2 linked regions of the Notamacropus eugenii genome follow. The protein of the gene in region 2 binds, or shares a complex with, the protein of the main gene of each other region. Links are inferred from orthologs where the notes say so. Each region holds a gene or a part of one and is shown on either strand. Other genes may lie near its edges.

What was found. The genes of interacting proteins can lie anywhere in the genome.
Region 1: CHTOP (region 2) and SARNP share a complex: the UniProt entries of both Homo sapiens proteins name them as parts of the transcription/export (TREX) complex. The link is inferred for Notamacropus eugenii from reciprocal best matches to the Homo sapiens genes CHTOP and SARNP.

The regions. Positions count from the first base shown.
Region 1 is NC_092874.1:231,065,047-231,076,181, forward strand, and holds the start of SARNP (SAP domain-containing ribonucleoprotein), read right to left. Parts: upstream 4,278-11,135; 5' UTR 4,269-4,277; coding exon 4,110-4,268; intron 1,633-4,109; exon of another isoform or gene 1,586-1,632; coding exon of another isoform or gene 1,559-1,585; intron 1-1,558. Other genes in the region: ORMDL2 (ORM1-like protein 2), read left to right, coding at 4,417-4,550, 5,294-5,468, 5,588-5,739, 6,358-6,493. UniProt on the Homo sapiens protein: Binds both single-stranded and double-stranded DNA with higher affinity for the single-stranded form. Specifically binds to scaffold/matrix attachment region DNA. Also binds single-stranded RNA. Enhances RNA unwinding activity of DDX39A.
Region 2 is NC_092873.1:377,595,577-377,606,352, reverse strand, and holds the start of CHTOP (chromatin target of PRMT1 protein), read right to left. Parts: upstream 5,056-10,776; 5' UTR 4,786-5,055; intron 4,664-4,785; exon of another isoform or gene 4,543-4,663; intron 3,979-4,542; 5' UTR 3,962-3,978; coding exon 3,897-3,961; intron 1,823-3,896; coding exon 1,669-1,822; intron 1,032-1,668; coding exon 948-1,031; intron 1-947. Other genes in the region: S100A1 (protein S100-A1), read right to left, coding at 6,290-6,433, 7,044-7,184; S100A13 (protein S100-A13), read left to right, coding at 10,673-10,776. UniProt on the Homo sapiens protein: Plays an important role in the ligand-dependent activation of estrogen receptor target genes. May play a role in the silencing of fetal globin genes.

The sequences.
Region 1 (11,135 bases), on a different chromosome or scaffold from region 2:
TATTATTAGCAATAAAATGCAAACAAAAAGGGCTTCCCTTGACTGAGGAATGGCTGGACACATGGTAATATGTGAACATAATGAAAAATTGTCATAATGAAAAATTGTGCAGAAAGAAATGACAGAAATGAAAATATCAAGAAATCAAGAGAACTTGTATGACCTGATTCAGAGTGAAGAAAACATAACTACATAAATCATATGCACAATGAGTATTAACGTAAAGGAAAATAATAGTAAAAAGTAGTTGAACTATGAACTGTAATGAACAATCTCTCACTCAAAGAACTAATATAGAAACATACCTTCCTCCCCTCAATATTAAGATGGAGACTATTGATGTGGAATGCGATACATACCACAGCTGTACTTACTTGTTTTTGTTTTTTTGTTATAGGAAATCAATGGGGGGGGAGCGGGTAGAGGAACTTAAGAGGAAAAAATTGTGGTATGAACACAATAGAGAAAAACAGAAACAAAACTTTTAAAAATTAAAAAAAACTGACAACACCTATCACATACCCAAGTCTTCCCTTCCCTGAATTAAACATACTTAGTTCCTTTAAGCAATCCTTACATGACACGGATTCCAGACCTTTCACCATTCCAGACAATCTAACTATAGACATGCTCTAATTTGAGAGATGGTGTGGAGTAAGGAAAAAGAACACTTGACTTGAAGTCGGAACAGAATTCATATCCTGGATCTGACATTAACTAGTTGTACAACCACAGGCAAGTCCATTAACATGCACTTCAGTTTCTTCATCTATAAAATGGAAATAATAACACTTAACACTACCTATCTCACAACATTGTTGAGGATATAAGCCATGAAGTACTATATAGACACATAAGCTAATATTATTGTCCATGTCTCTTTAAAATATAGCAGCCTAAAATGAAAATTCTGTTTAAGTAATTTCATATGTGTATATTTATCTCTATCAACTATATTATATTTCAAAGACAGGTACCTTACCTTGACTTATAATTTTGTTTTCTTCCATAACATTTATAGTGTTACTACATAACAAGCAATCCATAGTTGCTCAAGTGACTGTCAAAAGTAGCTCTTAAAATATAGATCTATGAAAAAGGGCAGAGAGCAAATAAAGAACTTAAAAGTCATAGATACAGAGCTGGAAGGGACCCCAGAGCCATCTAAGTTCAACACCCTCATTTTACAGAGGAGGAAACTGAAGCCCAAGGAGATTAAATAATTCATGCCTAAAGTGACACAGGTGGGAAGCATCAAAGGTAGGATATGAACCCAAGTCTGACTCTAGAATCAATGCTCTTTCCACTGTGCCACAATACCACACTATCCGCAAAAGGACAGTCAATGTATTCACTACTTAAATGAATTCCCACGATATAGTTTGGCTTTACCACTATTCCTATAGTGGTCTGTGTGGCACTTGACACACAAGCTTATCCCAGGAAAACCTGAGGTCAAGTCCTGCCTCTGAAACATACTGGCTGTGTGATCCTGGGCAAGTCACTTCACTTCCCTAAGCAACTCTCTAAGACTACAAGTTTCAGAGAAGATGCCAACCTGCATTAGTAGAGGGAGTTTCCTCATCCAGGAGTTGTGACTGTAGTCAAGACATTATGAAAGACAAGCCAAGAAGCTGCTAGAATTAATGGAAAACCAATATAACAATGAAATCACAGATCCAGTCCCCATCCCTGTATTTTAACAAACATTGTTCTCTACCATTTAGCTTTCTCCCTGGCCAGTTTGTATTTTGTGGTGGTTGCATTTCTTTACATTTTTCACAAATTTAAAGTCAATAGTATAGATAGGGTCAAAAATGAATAATCATTTCAAGAGAATAGAAATCAAGAGATTATAGTGCTAGAACTGGAAGGGACCTGAGAAGGCATGTATTCTAGCCCCCTCATTTTACAGAAAAGAAAACTGAAGCCCAGGGAGGATACGTGACTTGGCCAAGGTCACATAGCTAGTAGGTGTCAGTGGCAGGAATTGATCCCAGGGCTAGGAAATCTCATTAGTGCACACTTTACTGAAACAGAAGGCCTCCAGTCCTCAAAGGTCTTTATTTAAGGACTTCTGTTCACAGACAAAAAAGAAAATTTGAAAGCAAATATGACAAATCTGCATATCCTTTTAACCAGTGTGGTTATTTCAGTCCATACCTTGTCTTTTTCATTAAAATTAAGTAAAAGGTGGACTTCTGAGCATTCTTTTCTAATTATCTCTAAAAGCTCAATTAAAGTAAGCTAATGTCACCCAAACTAAACATCTTATTTCTCAAGAAAATTTTACATTCACATGTAAGCTAGAAAAATTAAAATGTTAAGCTCCAAAGCAGGAGTTCTTAACCTTATTTTCTGTCACTGATACCTCTGGCAGTCTGGTGAAGCTTATAGACTCCTCACAGTGTTTTTATATAATTGAAGGAAATGCTAAATTCCAGTGAAAGTTCAGTGAAACAACATTTTTCCCCATCCAAGTTCATGGACCCTCTGAAATCTGCCAACATCCCCCATGATTAAGAAGCCCTCCCATACAGCAAATAACAAGGGAAGATTCTTTCAATATAAGTAACAACTACGCCAAACTCCTTTAGATGCTGTGAGAGGTGAGAAATAGCATTTCATGAGGGAAAAGAAGACTCAGTTGTTTCTAGAGCAGGGGTTCTTAACCTGGGGTCTGTGAACTTACTTCTAAAAATATTTAAATAACTGAACTTCAAAATAATTGGTTACATCTTATGCATTTTATTTTATGCATTTAAATACATTATTCTAAGAACAGGATTACAGGCTTCACCAGACTGCTAATGGTGTCAATGACACTAAAAAAGTTAAGAATTTCTGTGGCATATGGACAGGCTCCTCTCCTACTCCTTCTCTATGTTCTTTTACAGTAGACTCTGATGGCCGGCATCAGTCCAGGAAAAGAAAAAAGCAAAACTGACATGCCATGGAAATGGAAAGCTTATAATTCAACCTTACACTCTCAACAAATGATACCATAAGAATAAAATCGGTTAAGCCAAGCAGAATCCAAGAAAATAAAAGTCCATGCTGCTAGGGCTAAGCATGTTTTAGTAGTGCCTATCTCAAGAGTATATCCAAGAAATCATAAACTATTTTTTCCTATTAGATATGCTTTAGATTGTCAGCATCAACAAGCCAGGTTGCAAATCTTATAGAGCACTTAATGTATTATATAATAAAGGAAATCGGTTTTTAGCTTGTTTCCCAAAAGGAAGTGAATAATCACTACCTGACAGGGGGACTGTTTGCCAAATTCTGAACGAACACCTAAAATCAACCAATATATCTCTTTTACCTATAGGAGGTTAATTCTTCTCCCCAAGTAAATAATACTAAAATCTTTGTCAACCATCCTATATTTCCCAGAGGATGACACAAAAGGAGGTGGAGGATAATAGGGAAAACTGAGTTTGTTTTTCAAAAAGCTTCCCCAGCTCCCTTCCTTATCTTGCAAAAGAAAAAAAAAACCTCCCTCTTCTTCTGAGGTGACCCCAGTGCCATCGAGTGCCTGAGGTGCGGGGAGGGGATGCCGGTGGTCCCCATTCCCGGGCTCTCCCAGGCTTCTAGGCTGGACTCAGGTACCATAACACCTCTGAGGAAGGAACTGGGGCGTCCCTGAGTCGTCCGGGCGAGCTGGACAGACACACAAACGCACGTGGGTGCCGCTACCCCAGCTTGCTGGGGACTCCTAGACTCGGAATGGAGAGGAGACCTGGGGAAGGAAAGGGGGTCGGGGGCAGAGAGGAAGGGGACAGAGGCGAGGGGGGTATGACGTGCTGCTACCTCTCCTGCCTCCTCGCAAGGGGAGAGGCAAACACACATTCTCGGCAGAAAGGGGGGAGGGAGAAGCGGTAAGGAGAGGGGCACCCCGAACGGAGAGAAAAGATGGCAGGGGGAAGGAACGAGAGGGGGGGGCAGCACGAGAGGAGAGGAAGAAGGCCCCAGAGACCAGCCTAACAGGGAGAGGACCGGGACGACAGTGAGGGGAGCCCCGGAGGGAGAAATGAGGGGAGGGAGGCGCCGGTCACCTCGTAGAGCTCGGCCCCCAGCCATGCCCGGGCCTCTGCCCCTCACGGTACCTTCAGCTTGTGGAGCTCCACCGTCTCCGCCGCCATCTTGTCACCCCCTCCTCCCCCAGTTTGCCCCCCTCTCCTGCCTCCGCCTTCTGGAGCTCCCGCCGAGACTCCGAGGATCACCACCACCCAATAGCCGTTGTTTATACTCCCACTCTTTACCATCAGCTTTTTTCATTCGTCGGCCGCCAGCATGGGTCCTCCCCCACGCGACGGTCTGCCGGAGAAGGGGATTGGAGAAGGGTTGGTTCCCTCCCACCAGAGTGACAGGCCCGCTGACTAACGAAACACAGAACATCGAAACGGGTGGCCAATGAGCCACGGCAGCGCCGGGCGTGGAGGGCCAATGGGGACAGTTCGAGGGCACGGCCGCTTCCAGGACACAACAGGTGGACTAGGTAAAGTAGCCGAACTTGCGTCTGGCGGAGTGGCCCTTGGAGCCTCCAGGTGAGGGGATTTGGGAGTGAGGGGATGACTCCGAGAGGAGCGGAGACAGGCCGTGACGGCGAGCTTTGAGGGGCAGGGATGGGGCCCCGGGCTACAGCCCAAGGGTCACTGGGACTCGGGGATCGGCTGGGTTCGGCCGTGGGCTGCCGGCTCGTCTGGAGGAAGGAGATTTGAACGCCCCTTCGTAGTGCGCCTCGGGGGGGGGGCGGGGGGCGGTTCCCGGAGCGCCTGCTCTGCCTGCCCCCACCCCGGGCGGCGGAAGGCCCACAACGTGCTCCCGCAGCTTCCTACATTTTCCAGAAAGGCCAATGGCAGCTCCCCCCGCCGAGGTTGTCGTCCATGGCAGCCCCGGACAGAGAATGGGAGGGGAGAGGTATCGTTCCCGAGCACGTCTACCTCCTGAGCACCTCCCCTTGGACTCACCTGATCTGATTCTCCTGCCCACCCCCGGAAGACGAGAGGACTGCCCCAAATTCCCCTCTATAGAAAGGAAGTGCTCCATGCCCCCTTTTCGCCTCCAACTACGGCCCCTTCCCCCGCTGTTCCCTTCAGGCTAAAGTTAGATTCCCCTCATCCCAGAAAGCTTTTTATCTCTCAGGCCTCAGTATACCAGAGGAGCGCCTTCCCCTCCTCCTCCCCCCAAGTTCAAGGTTCATTGCAGTCACCAAACCGGTAACCGAGGGAGGCAGACCAAAGGAAAGAGAACCCCGGTGAGTCCAGCTCCTGACTCACTATTGTGGCAGGATGAACGTGGGGGTGGCCCACAGCGAGGTGAACCCCAACACAAGGGTGATGAACAGCCGAGGCATCTGGCTAGCCTACATCATCCTAGTAGGGCTTCTACATGTGGTTCTACTCAGCATCCCCTTCTTCAGCATCCCAGTGGTCTGGACCTTGACCAACGTCATCCATAACCTGGTGAGCCTCCAGCCTAAATTCATTTTCTCTTATCCAGACTTGAATTCTTTGGGGATTTGCCCACCTGCCTCAAATCCATAGCTGAAAAGGATTTCTTCTACCTTCTCACCCCCTCCCAGGCCATGTACGTCTTTCTGCACACTGTGAAGGGGACACCCTTTGAGACCCCCGACCAAGGCAAGGCCCGGCTCCTTACACACTGGGAGCAGATGGACTATGGGCTCCAGTTCACCTCCTCCAGAAAGTTCCTCAGTATTTTTCCCATTGTGCTGTGAGTTCCAGGAGGGTGAGGGAGAAGCTAGGTAGAGTAGGTGTTGCAAAGGCCCCCCAAGGGGACATCAGTTAAGTGGAAGGTACCACCACAAGGGGTAGAATCTCTGTAAACTCACTGAAAAACTATGATCTAACCATGCTAGGAGGATAGAGGGTGTTCAGTTCACCAATTATGAAATCCAAAGTATGAAAGCCACGAATAGGCTTGCTGCCTCCCTGTGGTGGTAATGGGGATAGGAGCATCTGGGAAAACTTCAAAGAAATCCTCACCTAGATTCTGTGGTGCAAGACTTTGTTCAAGTGTACAACAAATGAAAGTATAATTGATTTAAAAGGAAGAGGGTAATGTCAGAGACAAGGGGACATTTGCAGTACTGTAGCTTGACCCTTCTTTCATTTTCCATTGATCAACACATTTTGCTATAAACTGTCTATAAATCTATAGAATCTATAAACTACTTCCCATTCAAGAGAAATGCTGTTCATGTGGCAATAGTGAGATAGAGCTGTCATTTAAGGAAATAACAAAACTGACTTAGGGGAAGATGGTAGAAAGAACAAAAAGAGGTCAGGGAAAGGTCCCTCTTTTTCATCATGTTCTTCTTTCTCTCCCCAGCTACCTCCTGGCCAGCTTCTACACCAAATATGATGCTGCTCACTTTGTCATCAATACAGCTTCACTGCTCAGTGTACTACTGCCTAAGTTACCCCAGTTCCATGGTGTCCGTCTCTTTGGCATCAATAAGTACTAACACCTGGCAATGATCACTTAGGTACAGGCTAGGGAAGGACAAGGAACAAAGAGCTGCTCTATCCTCCTTCCCTTTAGCAGCTGAAGACCTGAGGATCAACTGATCTTTTTTTGCCAACTCCAGGGAGATGAATTTGGGGGTAGGATGACTCCCCTGTACAAGTAAGGGCAGGTTCCTTAGAATCAAGAAATATGGGTAAGGGCTGGGCCCACTCTCCTGGCTGGTGCTATAGTTTATCTTTTCCAACTATCTACATCACTGCTATATAATAAAAGCTATTTTTCAGATGTAAATCTAGGGTAGTCAGCAGAACTTTGTGGGAGGTGAAGGAGGGCGAAAAGACTACATTCTTCCCAATCTTAAATTGAAAATAAACCTCTTTCTGATTATTATCATATCCCATGCCTCCCTGAAACTGTTTCTTGTCCCCACTCAACCAAGAGCAATCATCAGAGATTAGTAACTCTTATCATGTAGAAAATAGGGTCAGGGCAAGTGGGCACACAAAAGAGGTAGGCATAGCTTGCCAGTTATATTTATAGAAAGGTAAATCCCCTGGCTTTAAATAGATATGTACATACAAATATGAACAAACTTAAAAAAAAACCTTTTGATTACATAGGGATAGCTGGGGACAACCCCACCACCACCATCACCAAACTTGCTTTTTTGCCTCCTACCCACCAAGGGCGTGGGGACTTGAGTCTGCTTTAAAAAAAAATTGTCAAATCAGCCATCCTTGCAGAAACAACCCTGAGGTTAGGTAGGAACCATAGAACAGAAAGAGGCAGCATTTCCATTCCCTGAATGGTCCTGGGCTTTTACCCACCCCTGAATATAAGGGCCACTTGCCTCCTCACATGGATGATAGAGGAGAAGGCCCAGAAACAAAGGTCCAAGTTAACAACAGAATGAGTACCACCCTGGCCTTCGGAAGGAGGGACAATATAAGAGCCCCCCCCCAAACCCTAGAGAGCTCTGTCCCACACAAAATACTCATCAGTCCCAATCCTAGCCATGGTCTAGGCACAGGGCCCTTCCTGCCAACCACCCCACTATTTCTTTGGTATTGTCATCAAACAAGATTCAGTTCTTAGTTCCCAGAGTGGGGATTCAGTGGCTTCCCACAAGTCACTGAGTGAACAGGTAATGCTTGAAACTTTTTGAATATTGAAAATTTTTTAAAAAACAAAACAAGTTCCATCCTATGCTGTACACAGCCCTTATGATTCCCTGACACTGAGCTGAGGAGGGTAGAGAAGAGGAAGAGACAGGGCATCAGCGCTGGAAGGGCCTCCTCACTTTTTTCCGCCGCTTCGGTTTGGCTTCTGAACCTTTGGATGTGGTGGAACTGTCTGGCCTGGAGGGTGGGGTGGCCCCAGGGCCAGGCTGAGAAGCTGCAAAGAAATTTCCATTGGGCATCTGGCCTGGGGGAACCTGAAAGATCCGGCTGAAGAAATCCTGAAGGTCAGCAACTGAAGCTGGGGGGGCATCTGGAGTGACTCTGCAGTAAAACAAATATTGTGATGAGGAGATGAACATTCCTAAAGATACACAGATGTTTTACTTATTAAGTAAAAGTACCAAGTCATTGGCCAGGATACACTGGGATACTAAACTGTTCTGTATAACCAGTTCTCTGAAACAACAGGCAGGGAAAAAAACACTACCTACCTCTGCCGCCCACCAGGACCAGGAAACCGGGACCCAAATGAGATGTGATAGGGGACTCTGTGGGTATCAGGGGAAATCCCCACACGCTGGCACCCAGCCCATTCTGCAAACAAGAGGGAGGCAGATAAAACAGTACAACTCAACCCAAGTGAATATCCAAACTCCATTCTATGTAACTATATGTCCAGGCCCTTCCTAAGACTTGTTCAGTTGTTTCAGGTGTGTCTGACTCTTCTTGACCCCATTTGGAGTTTTCTTGACAGAAATACTGGAGTGGTTTGCCATTTCCTTTTCCAGCTCATTTTCCAGATGAAAAAATAGGCAAACAGGGTTAAGTGACTTGAGCAGAGTCACACAGCTAGTGTCTGAGGCTAGATTTGAACTCACAAAGATGAGTCTTCCTAAATCCAGGCCTGACACTCAATCCACTGCACCCCCTAGTGGCCCTCCTAAGACTATATAGCTTCCACATTATCCAGCATCACAGACAACTAAACATTCTGGCCCTTCTGTTACCCATTCTTTTTTTCTATTTATTAATTTGTTTTCAGTTTTCTACAATCACTTCCATAAGTCTTAGATTTTCTCACTCTCCCTTCCCCATTCCTCCCTAAGATGGCATGCAATCTTATATGGGTTCTACACATACATTCTTATTAAACACATTCTCACCTTAGTCATGTTGCAGAGAAAAATTAAAATGAATGGGAGAAACCATGAGAAAAAAACAAAACATAACACAAGAGAAAATATTCTGCTTCATTCTGCAATCCAATTCCACAGTTCTTTCTCTGGATGTGGAAAGCGTTTTGCCTCAAGAGTCCATTCGGAATATTTTAGGTCCTTGCATTGCTGTAAAGGGCTAAGTCTACCAGAAAAATTCCTTACACACTGTGGTTGTTACTGTGTACAAAGTTCTCCTGGTTCTGCTCCTTTCATTCAGCATCAGTTCATATAAGTCCTTCCAGGCCTCTCTGAAGTCCTGTTCATTATTTCTTATAGTAATAGTATTCCATTACATTCATGTACCACAACTTGTTCAGCCATTCCCCAATTGATGGGCATCCCCTTGATTTTCAGTTTTTGGCCACTACACGGAGAGTTGCTATAAATATTTTTGTACATGTAGGACCCTTTCCCATTTCTATGATCTCTTGGGGATACAGTCCTAAAAGTGATATTGCTGGATCAAAGGGTATGCAGATTTTTGTGGCCCTTTGGGCATAGTTCCAAACTGCTCTCCAGGTTGGGTGGATCAGCTCACAGCCCCACCAACAATGAATTAGTATTTCAACTCTCCCACATCTTCTCCAACATTTATCATCTTCCTGTTTTGTCATGTTAGCCAATCTGACAGGTGTGATGTGGTACCTCAGAATTGTTTTGATTTATATCTCTCTAATCAATAGTGATTTAGAGCGTTTTTTCATATAACTATAGATAGCTTCAATTTCTTCCTCTGAAAACTGCCTGTTCATATCCTTTGACCATTTATCAACTGGGGAATGACTTGTATAGTGCATTTGATTCAGTTCTCTGTATTTTACAAATGAGGCATTTATCACAGACACTAGTTGCAAAAATTCTTTCCCAGTTTTCTGCTTCCCTCCTAATCTTGGTTGCATTGGGTTTGTTTGTGCAAAACTTTCCAATTTAATGTAATAAAAATTACCCATTTTGCACTTCATAATGTTCTCTATCTCTTGTTTGATCATAAATTTCTCCATTCTCCACAAATCTGACAAATATACTATTCCTTCCTCCCCTAATTTGTTTATAGTATCAATCTTTATACCTAGATCATGTATGCATTTAGACTTTATTCTTGTGTATGGTGTCTGTTACCGACATTCTAACCTATCCTGAGGCAGGGTTGGAGTATACCTGTGATGTCATATACTTTTCCATCCATCATGGCAAAATAAGTGATCTTGAGGCCCAACATGCTTGACTCTGCCCAGAAGTCACCTTCCTCAGCAGGATGCATCTTGTTGCACTCAGCACAGTATCGAGCATACTGAGACTCTCGATCCATTTCAAATCTCCTGTCCCCGAACACAAAAACCTCACGTTAGTCCTAAGTATGGCCAAGTCATTATCTTGACTTTAACAAACGATTTGTGCTGACAGCACCACTTATTAGACATGTCCAGAAGGACCGTGTCCTTTCTACCTAATAATTAAATTATTATTCTCCCTTTGCTCAACTATATGCTGAACCACATCCCCAGTCCCAAGGCTTTTTTATTCTCTGGTTCACAACCACCAATTCCAAATCCTTATAAAAACCCATAAAAAGCTTTGAAGGGAAATGAAAAGACACTTCAATTGTCCTATCTCTGAGCTATAATACCCATCCATCTCTGACGTCTATCCTCCGCCACGCCCCATGTTTTTCACCTGTGCTTCCCTTGACACCGGCTACACATCATAGTATTCATGGCCTCCTTGAGTTCATCCTGCAGCTTGGACAGAAATTCATTCACTGACCTGCTCAACTCACTCTCTGCCATCCGTTTCCTGTGGGTAAAAGAGAAATGATGTTAGCCACAGAGCACTAAGGAAAAAATAAGTAAATCGTTGGGTAGCCAGTCACTTAACATCTTCTGACCTCAGTTTCCCACATCTTAAAATAAAGGAATTAGACTGGAGCCTCTGGGATCCCTTCTAGCTCTATCTACTACACTTCTCTCCAGCCAGCAACAGAAGCTGAGCAACATCCTACTCCCCCAGCCGCAAGGGCCCTCACTGCCTCTGACACATTCCACCCTCACATAGCATTTTCTTTTTCTGTTTCTCACATCTCATATTCCTTCCGTCTCTCAGGGTTACTAACAATATCCCAGGCAGCCCGCAACACCTTGAAGGCCTCTTCAGCCCTCGGGTGGTGGTTCTTGTCAGGATGAACCTACAAAGACAAAGGGTGAAAAGTCAAACTCCTGTCTCAATGCCAAAATGAACTCACATC
Region 2 (10,776 bases):
AAGCAACTAACCTTAAATGTTTCCATCTTTAAGTCAATACAATTACTGACTACCTTTTGGAACAAGTCTGTACTAGGTAGGTATGAAGATCCCTCCCTTCCAAAGGGAACCTGTGGGATTGCAAAAGGTAGCACTTCTCAAGAGAGAAAAATGTCCTCTCACAAATGAGATCAGGTGTAGCCTTGAGGAAAACCAGAGGCCCAGTAAATGTCTTTTCATTCTGTAAAATCACCAATATTAACACACACAAACCCTTGCTTTAAGTTACCTTCAATAGTAGTTACCTTTGAGCTCCTAGTCATGAGAAAATAAGCTGGTGATAATCCTATCAATCTGTATTTTAACACGTTGTTTAACTGTTCTAAAAATTTCCCAGTGCGACATGAACAAATGTGAATATAAATTCTCTTTCTGAACAATGAAGTAGGCTTTAACACACTGTATACCCTATTATAAGATGAGCCATGATTATAATGGTCTGCCTATACTTCCCACCCCTTTTTAACCACAGGTCAGGGATCCACAAGACACAAATTACAACCATACAGGGCTGTTTTTTTTTTTTTTTTATTTTTTTTTTTACAACAAAAGCCCTAGTTTTTTCCTGCTATCACTACTGGTCCCTAAACATTTATAGTGACAATGCATCAATTAATACTCTATTTAAGTTTCCGGAGGCAAACTTTCCATACAGACTTCACTAATAATTTTTTAGAAATACCTAGAATCTTATCTCTAGGAACTTGCCCTCATTTTGAACTCTCTGAAGAAGCTAGCGGTACCTACCATCATTTTTTTTAAATGAAAAAATACTTTAGCTACTCTGTGGTAGCTGAAGCTGAAAGCTTTGTTTATTTTTGGCCAGTGAGTCTAGTGGTTCAGAGTGTGTGTTATATTTAACTAGAGCTAAGCACAGCCATGCAAGTGCTCCCATTTAAAGTCCTTACAGTTGCATGGCACCGGCCTCCAGACTGCCAGCCACAGCTTGGACATATCCTTCCACAGCCACTCTCCGGACTTGCATACACAGTCTATGAATAATAAAGAGCAGGTTTTACTTCAGACCTAGGTGGAAATATGGATTGTGCCTTACTGGAAATTTAGGCTGAAAACCATAGTCTTCTCTAATCATATATTCAGACTTCTTGTTTTTGTCTAGATATACCAGTTACATTGGGAGTGGCTTCCTTCATTAGCTTTAAAATCACTTTGTTTCCCAAGTTACTTAGCATTGTCAATACAAATAAATTAAGACTATTCAGAATTTCTGGGGTGGTGGGAGAAGAGATAAAAAGCCTATTTTCCTAGCTTTTAAGTCATTTAACAATACCACAACAATGAGAATAAAGAGGAGATATGAGATGCCAAGAAACTTGATTAGATTTCTTGAGGAAGTCCCAAAAAATAGAAAATTACAACACACTAGTACCTACAACATGATCCAGGCCACACTAAATTGCCAGCCCCCAAAGAGAAAGGCAGCTAGTTACTTATTTGTACTTATCAACCAAAATAAAATGCTCTTTAACTCCTTTTTCCCTCCAGAAAATCCTCAGCTCTTACCCTGAGGCACCTTGTAATAATCCACCATATCCTGTACAGCCATCAGTAGGGCTGCCTGACAGGCATCACCAGCTGCCTCTGGAGGATTATGACCTACTCTCTCACCTGCTTAAGTTTCAATGCTGCCTGGACAGAGGGTCTATTCTCCATCTGCTGGGCCAGTCTTCTGTTTCTGGCACTGGCTAGCTGCTGTTGCTGCTGCATCGTAGCCCGAATATTCACTGGCATCGGCTGTTTGTTCTTCAGCATATTAGTAAAGCTTCAAGGTCGAACAAAATGGGTGTTTAAATAAAAGCTTTATTACAAAACATTTATTGGCATTTTCATGGCTCTCTAGACCAGGAGCTCCAGATCCCACGAACTTTATGTAAAGTGGTACGCTTAGGTCAAGGCTGATGTGGGTCAAGGACTCCTCTGTTTCCACAAACGTGCAAGAATCAGAAACTTAGAAATGCAGGTAAGTGCAGTACATTCATTCAAAAGTGATAACAAGGGCTTAGGTTACTGCGTTTAGAAAAGTGGAAGGAATGAAAAACATGAAATAAGCAGATATGGTGATGACAGGAAAACAGAAGATGTTACAAAGAATCAGAAGAAGACAAAAACAAATACTCTGGGGTGGGGTAAATCAGATAAGTAATTTTAGAGGCAATTGGTCTGAAGTGCACCTTATGGGTGAATGTGGACCGATTATAGTACCCTCTAAAGTCCATGGAAATGATGCCATCATATCAACAGAGGAGTGTATCAAATTTTCCCATTGTCTCTGTCAATCTAGTTACATGTAAAATACAGTCATTTTATAATCTCATCACATGCCATGAACTAAGACAGAAACTAGGGCAAATGGTGAAAATTTTTAGAGGAGAGTCCCAGCACCTATGATTTTATCAGTGCAGGAAATTCCCTTTACCAACACAGAACAGCACTTACTCTGAAACTCAGGATCACGACGATCTCAGGGCCAAATGTATTCCAACTGCCTCATTTTATAGAAGAGGAACTGGGGCCCAGATAGGATAATTAGTAATTTGTTAAAGGTCACACAGTTACTAAGATTTTTAGGTGAGACTCCACTGAGGTCTGACTTTAAGTCAGGCTCCCTAAACAAACACCTCTCATCTGAGAATTCTGGGAGGTTAGGTGACCTAAGGTCACAGTCAGTGGCTCCTTGAACCCAGGCTTTCCTGACTCAAATGGCTTATCTATCCACACCCAGAGGAGCCTTCATGTTGAACATTTTTTGGCCTGGACTTAATGATTCCACTGGTATAGAGAGCTATCAGTAATGAGGCTCCCTCTACCAAGGCAGGTTTACCCCTGCCTTAACTTAAAGAAAAAAATCTTAAGAGAGCTGCCCAGGGCACTGAAATTAAATTACTTGCTCAAAGTTATAGAGCCAGAATGTCAGAGGCAAGACCTGAATTTGGATCTTTTCAACCCAAAAGTGTATTCTCTATCTACTACGTAATGCTTGCCTCTCATGGTGAATATTAATCTTAACAGTTTAAAAAAGAAACACCTCCCCACTAGTTTGCTCTGTCCCATACTGTAATTTACCTTCCATTTAATTAAAGGAACCCCATAAAAAATTTTAACAGAAATCTTTATGGTGTTATATTTTAACAGCTTTACTTTCCTGGGCTTAAAATGGCTTCCCTCCTAATTACCCCAAGTGAATCTTCTTGAAAAAGTCATGCATTAGCGCAACAACTTAGGTTAAGAATGTGATGACACTCCAATGAGTCTCATCTATGAAAGGTCAATATGAACAGGAAAGAACATTTAACAGAAAAAGAAGTAAAAACAAAGCCTAAAGCAGTACTGAAAGATGCAGAGTTGAAGCAAAGAGGGTGCCTCTTACAAGGCCCAAGAACAGCATTCAAGAGCCTTTGGGCTGAGTTTTGGCCTGCTACCTGCCTCTTACAGGCCGGACCACAATCATGTCGGCCTTGGACTGGGCAGCAAGCCTCCTACGGCCAGGGTAACATGCTACTGTGCTGCAGCATCCCCTATATCAATGTAAAAAACATGAAGAAAAAGGGAGGGTGTGAAGTGCTTGAGTTTAAAACACATCCCACCAGGTTAACGGTTCAAATAATTTAACGTACACAGCTACCGATAACGTGTTCTGTAACATTGCCCACTCTGTTTCGCGTACCACAGTATGAGGCGACTTAAGAACAGAGGTCGTTAGCCTTCTGTTGATATTTAAGTTAGCTTTAACTTAAACACTGGGCAGAAACCAAGATGGTTTGAGAACATCGGACCCCGGGGCCAACTTAAGTAAAGCTTCCTTAGGGAGGAGCTGAAGTTTCTGGTGGCTGCCTCACCGCTCATTTAGAGACATCTTGGTGGTGCTCTTTAGCACAACTTTCGGAGCTGACTGTGCAGCCATCTTCAGATCCCGGGAATCTGCAAAGGATAACGGGCGGTTTAAACACAACGGTAAGGATGCCACCCCAGGGGGCCGACACAAGCAGCCGCTGGGAGAGGGACAACGGCCTCGCTAACAGAAGCGGCCGTCCGAGAGAGCGGCGCGACGACACAAAGCGGGGCCCGCAGTGAACAAGGGGGGCCGCCCCGCCGAGAATCCGGGATGGGGGTGCCAGGAGGCCAGCAGCTCATCAAGGAGGGCCCCTCACTGACGGGCACCGATCGGGAGGCGGTGGCAGGACCCTTCCACAACTGCCCCCGAAAGCTTCCATCCCGGCCTTCCTCAGATCGCCTCCGCGGAGCCCTGGGACCCCCAAACCAACTAACACTGCGTACCCAAGCATACATGGCACCCCGACTTCTCTCTCAAACTTGGCGGCCTAAACCTTCCACCGGCCTTTTCTCTCCTCCGTCTCTCCCCCGCTCCCAGCCCCCAGGGTCCCCTTCTCTGGGGCTCCTCGCCCCACCCCCCGTCATTCTTCGGGTGCTGCTCCCCAGCCATGGGGCCCCCAAACGCTCTCCTCCTCCGCCCTCCGTCCTCACCCTCTAGCTCCCTCGGTCGTTCCGCGGCCACGCGAGCTCGTCTTCCCCCCCCCCCCCGCCCCCGCCCATCGCTCGCCTCCCGCAGCGCTTTCTAGTCACGTGACAGGCGCCCCCCGCCCCCCCTTTGGTCGTTCCCTTCTCCCCACCTTACCCCTTCCTCTTCAAGCCCCCCATCCAAGGTTTTTCTTCAGCCCCCCTCCCCCGCCCCAGGCCCCAGGCCCGGCCGCGCACGCGCGCACGCACCAAAGGACACGGACGCCAGCGCTCCGCCGGGGGCCGCCGCTGCCACTGCGGTTGCGGTTGTGGGGCCGGAGACCGGCCGCGCTGGGCTTGTCTGGGGCGGCTGGAGGTGCTGGGCCGAGACCGAGGGTGGTTAGCCGCTTGCGTGACGGGCTGGCTGTTGGGTCCTCGTCCTTTCAGGCCGCCCTCTCGCCCGCTACCGCAACCCACTCCCACTCGGCGACCCGAACAAAATGGCCGCCACGCTTGGAGTGGAATGGCGGTGGCCAAAATGGCGGCGGCGCGTGGACGTTGGTGTGAGACGCGCGCTCGTCGCGAGGGGCGGGGCTGTCGTAGGCCCGGCCCCCGGCGTGGTTGCTAACACGTGTTTCCGGGGGGGAGGAGGGGGGCGGTGACTACCTGGTGCTTTTGTAGACCCAGCGGGCATTTACACTGTACACCCTGGTCTTGTGCCCATCCGACCCTGAAATCCCGGGCTCTGTCAGGTGCCCGCTCCCGGTGCCCCCAGGGTGAGAACAGGTGGCAGCGGTAGACCCGGGTCCTTCCCTCCCCGCCCAGGCTCAGCCCTGTTTTCGCCGCTCACTTGTCCGGGCTGTAACCAGGAGCAGACCGAGGTTTAATCCCAAGCTGCCGTTTATGCTTCCCCGTTTAACCTGTGGCTAATTAGGCACCGCTTTCACTGTGCAGTGACAGTTGGGCTGTAGAAGAGGTCGGGTCTTAACCTGGGCTTCAGAAACTGTTTTAAAAATATTTTGACAATCATTTCAGTGTAAATGGCTGCTTTTGTAATTGTACGCGTTTTGTGCACTTAAACAAGAATTCCGAGAGGGTCGGCCATCTTCACCAGTCAATCGATAAACATTAAGTGCTTGGCGCCAGACTGCCAGATGTAACCAAACAGTTCACAAAGAGAGCTCCTGGATGAAAAACGTTTTAAAAGTCTCAATTCTTGATCTTATTATCCTAAATGATTTTTGGACCTCTATCCCTTCTTAGGGTACAGCTTTACCTTATTAACAACTCAACCTTGATTACATCCTGATGAAGTGGAGGGAGACTCAGGTGATTGATCAGCCCTCTTTACCTGTCTTAGAATCTTAGTCCTTTTCGGAAAGAGGGTTCCTCCCCTTCTCACCTTTCAAAGGGGAAAATGAGGCACACTATACAAGTCTACCCTCCTCCTCCATCGGTCTGGAACCCAAAATATCCAATCTCCAGGGATTTTCAGAAGAGTCATGACCCCTTCCAATAACTGCCCTCAGGCAGAGTTAGCCCTTCTTCTTCACTAACCCCCAAAGGAGACAGACACCACAACTGTTGGGAGAGGAGCCTTTAATGCATAATGGAGCAGTGATCCACAAATGCTATGGTCCAGCCTGGGACAGTAAACTGGGGGAGGCTGAGGGCAGAGAGAGGGCTATGTGGGAGGTGAAGGTGGAAATGGGGGGATGGATGGGGGGAGAGATGGAACAGGGTTATTGGTGCTGGCCAGGGCTGAACTGCTTGCTCAACTGTTCTCCCAGAAGAAGTTGTTGCAGGCCACAGTGAGTGCAGCCACCAAAACCACATACTCCTGGAAGTCAACTTCACCGTCCCCATTCTCATCCAGCTCCTTCATCACCTTGTCCACTGCATCTGTATCCTTCTGAGTCTAGAACAAGGGAGAAGGGGGTTTCTGTGATGGAGGGCCAGGAAGACTTTAGGGGGCATGAAGAATTGGGACAGAATGGGAGGAGCAACTGACTTGAGCCAGACTATGGAAGATGACTGGGATGGACATGGAAAAAACTGGGAGTGAAAAGGACCAGGCAAGTGTATTGAAATTTGAGGGCAAGGGACAGGGAGATGTAGGAGAAGGTGAGAGGGGTGTGAGTGGGATGGGAAGGGAAAGCTGGACTGGACTGGAACTTGGACTACTTTGTATCTTTCTTCATGTTTTTAATGGATCCCCCAGTCAACTTAAAGAGTATGAGCTCCTTCAGAAGTGGGCAGTGGGATTCATCTTTAGGTTCTCCAATGCCTGTCACAGTGTTTTGCATATAACTGGCCCTTAATAAATGTTTGTTGAATTGATTTAAATTGAGAGAGTCTAAGAGGCCTTTGAGGGATACAGGAAGGAACTGAGATGGGGTTTGGGAACATGATAGAAGGGAAATGTAGAAGCTGCTTCCCATGCAGTTGGAGTCTTCCTGTAGCTGGCCCTCAGGCCAGGAGCCCCAGGGTACTCCTCCACCTCACCCAAGCAGTCACCAAACACTCACATCCAGGAAGCCAGAAAGCTCTGCCTGCAGTAGTTCCTTCAGTTCCTTCTTGCTCAGTTTATACTTGTCACCTTCCTTGCCAGAGTGGGCGTGGAATACATTGATGAGGGATTCCATGGCAGTCTCCAGCTCCGAGCCCATGGCTGCAACACACCTACCTACCCCCACCCCCCCACCAGGCCAGAGCAGGGTGAGGTTGAGATAGGGAATAGGGATCAGGGCCCAGGGCTGCTGGAAAGAAGAGAGCCCTGGGCTCCTAAAGTCCTTATATTATAATGCATATATAGATGATTTGGACTCCATCCTTCATGATGTGGATTCCATCCTCTAGGACTATATTCAACATTGTTAATTATTTTTTAAATTAATATTTTACATACTCATCATTCTTAGCAGAAACCAAAAGAACTGATTAATTCAGCCCTTTTTTTTTTTTAAAGCATCATAAGCCTCAGACCTGTAAGGGACCTTAGGGATGAATTCCAATTCTCTAATTTTATAGATGACTGTAAACTGGGATAACGATGAGAAAAACTGAGGACTAGCAAGGAGAAATGACTTGCCCAAGATCATATATTTGGTTAGTGCAGAACTGCAACTACAGCCCAGATTTCCCTGGCTTCTTTCTAGCACACTATGCTGCCTCTCCCCATGGTCTAAAAACAGAACTAAAAGTTCAGAGAAAAGGGAGGAAGTTGAAGGTTCAAGGCTAAGGAAGGAAAGAGACGGGGCTAGAGGTGGGGATAGAGTGGGGAATAGGGCGGATGTTGAAGGATAGGATCTGAGGGACCTCTGAAGAGGGGGGCATTATGGGTACATTAGATTGAGGGGTAGAAACAGGGAACACTGGGCAGCATCAGGGAGCAGGAGGAATTCAGCAGTGGATGGACAAAAAGGACATGTTGCTCACTGGGCAGCTGCCCATGGGAATGAGGGTGGGTCTTAGGAACGGACAAGTCTTTCTCAGGTGCTATTTTTATCACAGGCCTAGTGTGTTCTGCCTAGGCTTAGGTGTCTGTTCTGCAACTATCCCTGCCTCTCCATACTGAGAATGAAGGGGGGTAGGGATGAAGGACCACTTATGCAGTGTCACACTCATGCTTCTTCCTAATTTCTTATATTTGATGCCCCTAAATTCTCTCTCTGCCCAGGGGTTCTCAACCCCCTACTCACATCCCTTTGACTCCTCTAGCATGCTCCCTACTTTTAGTTCCTTTGCCCCTTGCCCCTGCCTTCTATACTTTAGAATCTGTCAGACTGAAGTCTGTCTTGAGAACCAACTCTTTCTCATCAGACCTGGATGGTGGGAATGGAGAATGGAATGTTTGATCCTTATCTCCCAGAGCTGGGCTCCAGGGTGTGGTGGAGGTGGGGAAACTAAAAGGTTCCAAGTACAATCTCCTCTTCCCCACCAGCAGCTTGAACTTGAGAAGGGGACGAGTGGCAGTGTAGTTGGGGTGATCAGAAATGACAGGGGAGTTGTATACCTGAGGTTCCATCTGAGGCAAGGTGCAAGAAATTAGAGGGGAGGAAGGAGGATGAGGTGTGAGGTTATAGTGGGCTATGACATTGGAGAGGGGCTTCAAAGCCCAGACACTCCTCAGCTCTAGGAGTAAACAGCACCACTTCCCCCTTCTTCTCCCCTTCCCTCCCCCCACTCCATCCTCAGACGGGATCTCAGGTGTCCTAGATCAGGTATCTCTCACCTCTTTCTCCAGGACTGGGGGGATGGACAATGGGTCCTCTCGGATGACACTCTAGCTCCTCAATGGATCCCTTGTGTCACCTGAACTTCGGACATGAGAGATGGTTGTCACAGAGACCAAGCAGGGGGGAGGATGTGTGGAATGGGAACCTGAAGCTTGGGTCTGATGGGGGGATAAGGGGAAGGGGGGCTGCCATCTCCTGTTACCAGCCCCATCACTGATCACTGATGTGGAGGTTCTGAGGGGCTAAGGGAACCTTGAGTTTTCCCCCACAAACATGCCTATGGACCCTTTGGAAAGCCTTAGAGAGTACAGTGTGATATGTAGTATCTCTGAAAGGTGTCAGCTCAGAGACTTTGTTAAGGGTACAGCTGAAAAATGCCAGAGGGAGGAGGGGAAGAAGTAAGGAAGTTAGGAAAGAAAGAGAAGAAAAAGAAGTCAGTGGGTTACTGAGTAGAGAAGGAGGTGAATGGGACTCCCTTCCTAGAATCCCCCACCCCCCACCTTGGTGCCCACTCATAGAAACTTTTCATCTATTGTGTTTGTATGTTATTGGGGGTTTAAACTTGGGAATAGGCTCAGGCCCGGGGTAAAGGAATTGTTCTACTTTGTAATCTTAACCTCTCCCCCACCCCAGGGCCCTTGGGGGTTGAAGAAAGCTTGGATTTGGGGACAGTTGCCTAGTCAAAACTTATCTGTCTCCTACTTGGCTCATGCTAGGGCATGAGCAAAGCAGAGTAAAGGCCTAGGGCCCAGATGTTTCAATCCTTCACCCTCAAACCCAAGAGAGAGATGAACTGGGGTCTAGGAAGCCCCAAAGATGGAGAGGGGAATCTTGGGGGTTCCTCAGCTGGAAAGGATCATTCTATGAGGAATGGGTTGTATTGCTTTTGGAGAGAAGAGAAATCTGTCCTCCCATCCCACCATTTAAGTCCTCAGGTAACTGCGTCCTCCCTCCGTGGATGGACCCTTCAGATCCTTCACTGGGCCCCAAAGTCCCCTATCTCTCACTGATAGTCCCCTTTATCTGAGCAACATTCCCAGACTCTTGGAGACCACCATCCCCTCTGTAGTTAGCACACCCTCTGGATCCGAGAAAGCAGAATACTCACGGGTGGGTTCCGGGCTGAAGGGCGAACAGATGAGAGGGACGAAGCTACGTGTCCTGTGACCAGAGCCGGTGTGGGGAGCTCTCACTTCAGACGTCCTTCTCCCCACTCTGGACACCCCCTCCTACCTTTAGCTCCACCCCCTCATCGGGCTGACCGCCCGTGGGGCAAACAGCCAGCTAGCAGACAGAAGCGCCCTCTGTCTCCAGGGTCGGGACAAGCTGGCCCTGTTTTACCTCCTCCCCCAGGTCAGAGTTTTGGTTTTGTTTTTTTTAAAATTCCTTTCCCCACATGTATGCTAGCAATCCACGGGGGTTCTTAGTTGATCTTGATGCCAGCTCAACCCTGGCACAGAACAGAGAGGGCAAGGAAGGATAAAGTAGAGGGGAGAGAGAGAGAGGTAAGATCAGAGACCGCAAGATGCTGAAGTCTTCTGGTCCTTGGACCGCCCTGTAACTGTCCATTGCGGCAAGGCATGGTCATTATGCCTTATGAGCAGAAAAAGAAGGGGACTCCTCCAATAGAGTCTCTCAGATCGGGACCTCATCTCCAGATACTACCTTCTTTGCTCTTAATTTCATCAACAGCCAGCTGGGATGCACGAATTAGGACTTTTTGAGGGGCTGGGTGGGGGAGATAAGAGGGAGATGGGAAGTGAGCGGGAGGGATTTAAAGGACGAGCTGAATGGAGGTCAGAGGCACATACTTGGGGGCTAAGATGCTAGGGCTGGAAGGGTGGTTGAGACCGGGAAAGTGAGGTTTGACATTTGTTTGCTTCAGGGCAGGGTTAAAGCGGGTAAGGTGGTAGTGCCGTATGGGTGAGGAGGAGTGGGTGGGCGTGCCTTTGCCGAAGTTCACCACGGGAAACTCTATACCTCGGGATATACACAGAGGACTCTGTCTCCCCAGCTCCACCTC